2 linked regions of the Daphnia pulex genome follow. The protein of the gene in region 1 interacts with the protein of each later gene in a biochemical or structural test. Links are inferred from orthologs where the notes say so. Each region holds a gene or a part of one and is shown in the gene's direction. Other genes may lie near its edges.

Region 1 (4,492 bases):
CGCTAACATCTTGGCTGTTAAGCATAACATTGATAGCACTTGTATCTGTGCGTTCGTAGGTGAACGATCGCCCCTCACTAACGACTGTTACAGAAATGAATAGCATTCAAAATTAAGGTTCATTCAAACGTGTGATAAAGAGTTTTAAAAAAATGCATACATAGATTATCAAGACACCATTCAGAACAGAATCCAACTTGACGTTTCATGTAATCGTCGGTCGATTTCCATTTTTCCAACACCAAAAGTGGATGCTGGGTTTCTTGGTGGAATCTTTTATTGAGAGCAATTTTGTTTTCACCTAAATAGAAGAAAAATGAGAAACAAATCCTACAAACTAGTTATAATTATTATTTTTTACTTGTTTGAGCAAATTTCTCAAGAGCAATTAATGAAAACAGTACTACTGGTGGGTGGTTTGATGGATCCTAAAAGATATACATTGTTGAAAATAAAGTGAGACCAAAGATTGATTGTCAGACATACCAGGTTGGCTATAAGGTAATCCAATGTGCTGTCAGTTAGCAAAGCAACACTTGTAGGCCCAGCCAATTTTTCAGCAATGCAGCCCAATGCAATACAAATATTCCTGTGACGATTAGGATCTGATCTTCCCCTTTTACTAGCTTTAGCTGACAGCCAAAACATCCGGGGGACTTTAGTAATGGAATCCTGAAAAAAAAATGGTGAAAATTTAACCTAGCAACAATGTCTAACATATGATTAAAATCTTACCTTTGCTGGTAAGGCACAGTCATCTAGCACCAGAGTGATGACAGCAGGTCCAAGGGGTTCATTAATGGGTATTACATTAACCATGGAATGTAGAACAAGCAACCAACCATGCCCTTTGTTAGAAAGAGCTTGTAATCTTAACATTGAAGGAGGTGTTTCTTGATCACTAAACAAAGAAGGAATAATTAAAGTGGATACATAGGAACATATAATAAAAACATACTTTTCAACTAAATTTCCTATGACAGCTAATGTCTGCAAAACAAGACTGTCAATATGGGGTAGCATTCGCCTCAAGTGTGAGGCCTCAGATGCTGGTATAACATGAGATGGGAAACTTCTGTCTCTATCAACTGAAATATTAGATTGCAGTGGACTTGGGAGGCTGGCAGTTTCTGGTTGAGGCACTGAGAGAGAGGGTAGTTCCCCATCCTTTTCGTCACAACATAAGCATTGTCCCATTTTTAACTGCTTCAGTGGAAATTAAATTTGAACATGTTATTTGAGAGAGATCGTCACTATTCAAACGTGCAATTTGATCTCCATCTTAGTTAAGTTTATAAGTGGGTGTATATGGATTGACCAGGAATGGATTTGACGTTGTTCAACAATTAATTTCAGTAGCACTATTTAACCATGTTATAAATATGGATGGTAATCTAGTATTGAGAAATTCGATGAAAAAGGTATCGTCTGCTGCTTATAACGCGAACATAGATATCCGCTAGGGGCGCTTATAGGAGAGCCATCCTTTCACCGGACATCTAATAGTATCTAATGCCTAATGAGGAGTAACACAATTTGGAGTTTTCTTTTTCTTCCGTCAGATGTCGAAGTCCACAAGTTTGTTTATTAAAATAAGTCATACTGATACTGTAAAGTCTAATTAGTAATTACACGTTGTGGAATTCGCGTATTGCATATTCTTTTTAAAATAAGGCTTATCTTTTTTTGTCGAAGACAAAGAGTTATTTGATTGAATGGAAAAATAACATATAGTGTCCAATTTCAATTTTCGCTAGCGGGGTACGAGGTGATTGGCGACAGTTGACTTTGAATGTTTTCGAACTACTCCTTTGAGTTGTTGCTGATTATGCATTGAATTTATATCAACTGCTTCCTTTATTTTATCCTTTTTATTTATTTCAGTTACAGAATGGCAACCGGAATGATGCAAACATTCATCACTGGGCTTAGATCCAGAAGTGAAGATTTGAGACTAAAGGCTGCCCGAGATTTACACCATTATGTAAGAGAAGGATAAAGAGCTAAATGTTTAAGAAGGAAATAATATAGAATTGTTTTAATGTTGTCTTAATTTGTTTAGGTGACATCTGAGTTAAGAGAGGCATTGCAGGAAGATGTAATTTCATTTGTTGATGATTTGAATCACCATATATTTGACATGGTGTCCAGCTCAGATGTCAATGAAAAGAAAGGTGGCATTCTAGCCATAGTTAGTTTATTGCAAGTAGATGTTGGAAATACCAATGCCAGAATGACTAGATTTGCCAACTATTTGAAAAACTTACTTCCATCTCAGGATGTAGTTGTAATGGAGTTAACTGCAAGGGCACTTGGAAAATTGACACTGGCAAGTTAAACAAAAATCTAAATAGCCTCTACACATAATTAAAACAGATGATAAATATAGATATGCAATTTTTAATAAAACAGGTATCAGGAAGCTACACCGCGGAGTATGTGGAATTTGAAGTAAAACGAGCCTTTGAGTGGCTCAGTGGCGAGAGAAATGAAGGTCGTAGGCATGCAGCGGTAAGTTAAAAATAACATCATTAACGATATGTTGATACCATAAGTTTTAACTCAATTTCTCACAGGTGCTGGTTTTGCGAGAATTGGCTTTATCCATGCCAACTTTCTTTTTCCAGCAAGTCCAGACTTTTTTTGACGTTATTTTTTATGCTGTTCGGGACTCCAAACCAATGATTCGAGAAGGCGCAGTTGCTGCTTTACGCTCTGCTTTAGTCGTCACATCTCAGCGAGAAACTAAAGAAGCTCAAAAGCCTACTTGGTAATAAACAAGCTTGTACAAGTTTAACACATAAAGATATAGTATTAACCATTAATTAGGTATAAACAATGCTTTGACGAGGCCCAACAAGGTTTTGAGGAACCGTTAGCCAAAGATAAAGGACTAACAAAGGACGACAGAGCTCATGGATCTCTTTTGGTTCTTCAAGAGCTTCTACGTTGTTCGAATGCAGAGGGTGAACGACTTCTCGCTGAACTAGAGCAATTAAATTTACTACATTCACAGACTGTTCAGGTTGAATATGCCGATCTTTGTATGACCTGAGCAAATGCGATAATTCTCAATGATTTTTTACCAAAGGATTCTCTAATTTCTACAACTTCCCGAGTGTTGCCGAACGGTGCTGTTGAATTAATCAACACTCCTACACTTTACAATAATCTCCGGCTTTTGCCAGGGCATGTCGCTCAATCAAGGATAGCCAGCGCCGTGTCACCACTATCGATAGTTGCGCCCCAGCAGGTGATTTATAAAATTGATCGCAATACTTCCACTTACCTGAACGAATTTTCTATACAAACAGTACCCTATAGTTGAAAGCGCTGCATGCCGCCAATTGACTGCTGATCATTTTGATGAAATTTGTGCCAACACTCTTCGACATAGCATCTCAAAAAGCAGCCATGTACAAGCAGCTTTGATGGGAATTCTGCCTAGACTGGCTGCCTATGATCGAACCCGATTTTCTGATAGGTATTAAATTTTTGGAAAATTTCTTAAAATGACAAATGACCATACATACTTAATTTCCCCAGGTATTTGGGCCCTTCGATGAGCTACTTGATGGCGTGTTTGACCCGCAAAGAAAAAAATCCTCACCTTGCAATGATAACTATAGGTTATATAGCAGTGTGTATTGAAGGGGATATTGCCACACATCTCCCTGGCATTATTAGTTTTGTTCGGACTTCTCTACCTCAAAATAAAGTAGAGAAACTAAAGAGTGTAAAGAAGAAAAATTCTTTAATTTTCGAAACTTCTCCAAACTAGGACCCATCTTCTACCAAAAAACGCTCCAGTCCCCCTGATATTGCTGTTTTCGTCTGTCTAAGTCTGCTTGGCCGAGCCGTTGGTCGTTCTCATCTAACTAGTGAGTTCAAGGATCTACTGGATCCCATGCTGTCCGTTGGACTTAGTCCTGCCCTGACAACTTGTCTTCGTGAACTGGCCTTGAGAATTCCTCATCTTAAAAAAGACATTGCCGAAGGACTCTTGCGGATGCTTTCACTAGTTTTGATGCACCAACCACTTCGTCATCCAGGCATGGTTTTATTTTAAACAACGAATTTGGAAAAGTACATTCTACTTGAATTAATTTATCCATTCTATTTTAGGAATGCCAAAACATCATATGGCGCTCACTCCAGTGGCACTTCAACCACTACCATCGAATGGGGATGACGTCAATAGCATCGTTTTAGCTCTAAGAACGTTGGGGAGTTTTGATTTTCAAGGTTAAAAAACCAATTTATTTAAAATTCAATGAACGAGAGACGCAGATTTTTCAACATAATTTTGTTTGTGTCGCTAGGTCAACCACTACTTTTACAATTTGTTCGCCATTGTGCCGACAACTTTTTGTGCAGTGAGCAAAGGGCCATACGTCTTGAAGCTGTGCGAACATGCAGTCAGTTATTGAAATGTGCACTTCAGGAGTCAGTGAAATTAAAGAAAAAGCCATTGAGAAGCAGTGGAGTTCGC
Region 2 (4,160 bases), on another chromosome or scaffold:
ATGTGTCATGATGTTTTTGACATTTGATTTGTGTAAGGTTGATGGAATAAATTTTTTTTATAGATTTTTCAATATTTTAAGAGAAACCTTAGACAAGCGCAGCAAAGACACAACAATTCAAAATCCGAGAGCCCTTGTGACGGTTTGGGGTCATTTTCAAACAAAGGGCATGCAGAACGTGCAGACCTCGAAAATATTAATGAAAATATAAGTATATACGTATTTTTATTTGCGAAAATGCAAGTCTGCCATCTGCCATAGAGAATTTGAATTTTGTGGCTACGATGCGACGTTGCCACTGTTTATTCGGACTACAGTTGCTTAATTTTTTTAAGTCCGAAAATAAATAAACGAAAAATTTGAGAAAAAACAAAATATTATTTAAATAGCACCTAACGAGTTCAATTTAAATGAATAAATGGGGTTTTTAATTTCCAGATAGAGAATTTCTTGATTTGTACATCAAAATCCATCTAAAGCAGGGGTATGGAGAGATGGTTGCCAATAACCATGTTAAATTTCCCATAAGGGGACTCGAAGGGAAGCTACTTTTTTACTAGCGACATTTGTACGGCATTTGTATGGGCATGATACGGAGGCCCCTTTGAATCAATGCCATCTAGGCTGTTGCGGCATATGGACATACAAAGAGACCTTTTAGTAAAATGAGCGGACGACCCCTTATGGGAAATTTAACATGGAGACTGGCAACCATCTCTCCATACCCATTTCTAAAGTAACCAACAGACTGCGATACTCTGAAATTTTAGAGATGAACTAATAACTGCTAATAACAAGATCACTAGATCAGTTTAAGATTTTTAGGGAGAAGCGCAGAAGCCAAGGAGAGTGGGGTATACATCAGTATAAATGACGAAGAGTCATTTACTTATGTCAGTTACAGATGGTTTTTTTCTATGCAAGACTTATTATAGGCCTACCTGATTCTAAAAATCTGTATGTATATTCAAGGCAATTCAAAAAAAAAAAATATTGGCGGACACGCGGCCTATTACATATCACTAATTCAATGACAATATGTGCCATTTACAGTATTACAGTAATTCAATTAACAAAACCTATAGTTTTTTTTATCATGTTCACAATTCAGACTAGACCTGCATGGACGGAAAGCGGTCTTCTTATTTCTCATAATGAATCAGTTTGATGTTTATTCTGTGCACACGAAATCTTAACTCAAAAATTGGCTCCAAATTTAGTTTATTTTTACGCATTGTAAAGAATATGCAAAATACACTAACTCGTGACTCCGGTGACGTCCGCAGGAACGCAGGAGACGTACCGCGGTCCGCGTACCGCATCCAAAAAGAAATTTCTAGTGCGATTGCGAAATAATCGAAATTGGCAACGCTGTGTGGAATAGAACAAAGAACCCCTACCCTAACAAAAAACCGTCAACAAATATCAGAGACCAAACCTTTTTTGTTAACTGCGTAGTTTGCCTGTTCCTATCCGTAAATAATTCTTTAAAGAAATTGGTTTCTAGTTATAAGGCGTTGTGCTGAGTTTTACCAAGTAAAAGCAGCATTGCACAGGCGGTTTACTACACCTCTTTATTTCAATTTGTGAACCTGTGCTTGTTTGCTTATCAAGTGATCTCATCTCCTGGGTTAAACTACAAAGAGTTCGTTTTTGTAGTGAAAACCTTCAATGTTGAGATCATTCAGTAGACATAATTCAAGAATCTATACTGAAAATTATACGTCAGAAGTGACCCTAGCACTGACACATTGGTTTTGTGTCATGGAAACAGTCAGTTTGTTCACAAAAAAAGGTGTTTTCTGTCATCCACGAAGTGTTTTAAGAAACTAAAGTTTAAACTGCTGTTGGTTCTGTGAGTGACTTATTTCCCAAAGTTGTTTTTAAAGCAAAGTACAAATCATTAGTGAAAGATGAAGCTTTTAGAGAGTAGTCGCTTTGAGCAAGTTAACTCTGCTCTTAATATGTTCACTGGAGACTGCAACATTATTGGAAGGTAATGAATAGAAAAGTAAAATTAATTCCCATTTTTTAAGTCTATAAAATATGTATTATTTCCACATTTTTTTCATATTTACATTTTAAGCACTTGCTCATTGTTTGTTTCTAAGCAACAAGGTCGCCACTTTCATTGGCTTCCTCAGCAACCAATCAGAAAGCCGGGACTGGTTGCCATGCATATTTCTGCAAAATTTGGATCTCTGTGTTGACCTAATAGTAAAATTGCTTTATTGCAGGATTGAAAGCTATTCATGCAAATTGGCAGGACATGAAAAACAACTGTATAAGCGTTTCCATTCAGAGGCCGGTGCTGGTCCGCACGATCTTCAAGTATTATCAGCTCCTCAAACTGCGCTTGCTGTTTCCCCAACAGGAGGTTATTTCAGTAATCAAAGGTGCATTGAGCTTTTTAAAAAAAAAAATAGTACGAGTCATTAGACATACGACATTTTCTATTTAGTTGCAGCGTTTCAGGAGATGAAGAAGGCCCGTTATGTGACACAATAAGCCGCAAAACGTTATTTTATCTTATCGCCACACTAAATGCTTCGTTTCATCCAGACTATGATTTTTCTTATGCTCGCAGTGAAGAATTTAGTCGCGAACGATCGATTCAAGTAAAAATTTTTATTATTTCGCTATCGTAGTCTTTCTTAAACCAATTTAACTTTTTAGTGGGTAATGAATGCAGTCGATAACAATTTGAGTGCTACAGCTGGAGATCTCTACAATTCCAAATTACATGCTCAGCTGTGGGCTGCCATTAACGATGAAATCAATTTGCCCGAATGCGACATCTATAGGTTCGTTCAAGATTTATTGAAGTATGCTTCGGTATTTTATATTGATCATTTTTGTGCAGTTACAATTCGGATCTGGCGTCAGATCCCTTTGGTGAAGATGGTTCATTGTGGTCTTATAATTATTTTTTCTACAACCGGAAACTAAAGCGCATTGTTTTTTTAACTTGCAGAGCTGTCAGGTAAATAATCTCGAAGAAATTATTGATATTCAGTTATATCTAAAATGTTACATCTTTAGTTTAAGCCACATGGATCTGAGTTGCGGTGCGGAATTCATGATGGATGAAGAGGCCTTCCTATAAAGTGGGAGCAAACAGCCAACAAAGCAGAACTACGACGCCAATTTCAATGTTTTAATTACATTAGTCGTCAAAAGTAGACGTTCGATTTATGTTTACACATAGAAATTTTACAAAATAAGACGTCCAAGATTTTTTAGTGGCGTACCTCGATCAGATTTTTCTCAGTAGTTCGATCGTCTGTCGCACGTCAGCATTTCTTCCGGGAAATCCTTCCTCCGGAGACCTGTCTTTACTTTAATTTAAAAAAGAAAACGATGTAATAAATGTTTTTTCTTTTTTTTTCTTCCGAACTGCGTCGCATACGAATACACGGAATCATATTTACCTTTATATTGTGTTCCTGAGCATCCGGAGTTTCCTTTTATGCATGGCCGAAAGCGACTAATTAGGAAAAACAGCAACATTAAATTACGTCATCTAAAGGGGGGGGGGGAGAATTGAATTCTTTGTATTGTTTGGTTATGGATACGAAAATGTCAAAATAACGAAGGTATGATCTCCTTTTTTGAAGACAGTTGCAATCGGCGCTTATCATTTTTGATTTGAACTTCTACTTTTGCATCGAATGTAGGCTGCCGATGCTCACACCCGAATACTCTATGAAATACTTTAAACAAATTAAATAACTAATCCATTCACTGCTAACTCATTTTTTAGTAAATACCATTTTTCAGAAATTTTTTTCAGGTTAAAATGTGAGGCCGAAGAACTAGATTTTAAACGCTGCAGCGCCATAATGACATGAGTTCACAATGCCTTCCATACATTTTTTATTTAATCAAAGACAAAAAGGAATAGTTGAGAAAAATGCTACACGTAAGTAAGTAAATAAAAATTGTTTGCTCTTTAGCTTTAGGAACTTTATTTTCCACTGATGCATCACCTGTTATCTAGTTCTCGTGATGACTCAACGAACTCAACAGCAGCAAAACACAATGACATGATGTGCGATAGAAACATTTTGAAATCCCAGTATGTCCGTATTTGCACAAGACATGTCACCTCACTAGCCGTCGCGGTAATTGTGCAATGAGGATCTAAATGAAATCATCTT

Evidence for each region.
Region 2: of the proteins of serine/threonine-protein kinase mTOR-like (region 1) and repressor of RNA polymerase III transcription MAF1 homolog, one has a biochemical effect on the other in vitro, tested with the Homo sapiens proteins (2 studies listed by BioGRID and IntAct). The link is inferred for Daphnia pulex from reciprocal best matches to the Homo sapiens genes MTOR and MAF1.

What each region holds. Positions count from the first base shown.
Region 1 is NC_060027.1:5,105,801-5,110,292, forward strand, and holds the start of serine/threonine-protein kinase mTOR-like, read left to right. Parts: upstream 1-1,555; 5' UTR 1,556-1,768; intron 1,769-1,884; 5' UTR 1,885-1,891; coding exon 1,892-1,984; intron 1,985-2,062; coding exon 2,063-2,329; intron 2,330-2,412; coding exon 2,413-2,511; intron 2,512-2,576; coding exon 2,577-2,770; intron 2,771-2,829; coding exon 2,830-3,025; intron 3,026-3,091; coding exon 3,092-3,253; intron 3,254-3,314; coding exon 3,315-3,484; intron 3,485-3,546; coding exon 3,547-3,718; intron 3,719-3,781; coding exon 3,782-4,052; intron 4,053-4,125; coding exon 4,126-4,245; intron 4,246-4,322; coding exon 4,323-4,492. Other genes in the region: RING finger and SPRY domain-containing protein 1-like, read right to left, coding at 1-84, 161-301, 362-428, 487-672, 736-901, 959-1,197. UniProt on the Homo sapiens protein: Serine/threonine protein kinase which is a central regulator of cellular metabolism, growth and survival in response to hormones, growth factors, nutrients, energy and stress signals.
Region 2 is NC_060026.1:7,367,647-7,371,806, reverse strand, and holds repressor of RNA polymerase III transcription MAF1 homolog, read left to right. Parts: upstream 1-1,375; 5' UTR 1,376-1,913; coding exon 1,914-1,996; intron 1,997-2,237; coding exon 2,238-2,396; intron 2,397-2,461; coding exon 2,462-2,618; intron 2,619-2,676; coding exon 2,677-2,804; intron 2,805-2,863; coding exon 2,864-2,983; intron 2,984-3,042; coding exon 3,043-3,106; 3' UTR 3,107-3,436; downstream 3,437-4,160. UniProt on the Homo sapiens protein: Plays a role in the repression of RNA polymerase III-mediated transcription in response to changing nutritional, environmental and cellular stress conditions to balance the production of highly abundant tRNAs, 5S rRNA, and other small non-coding RNAs with cell growth and maintenance.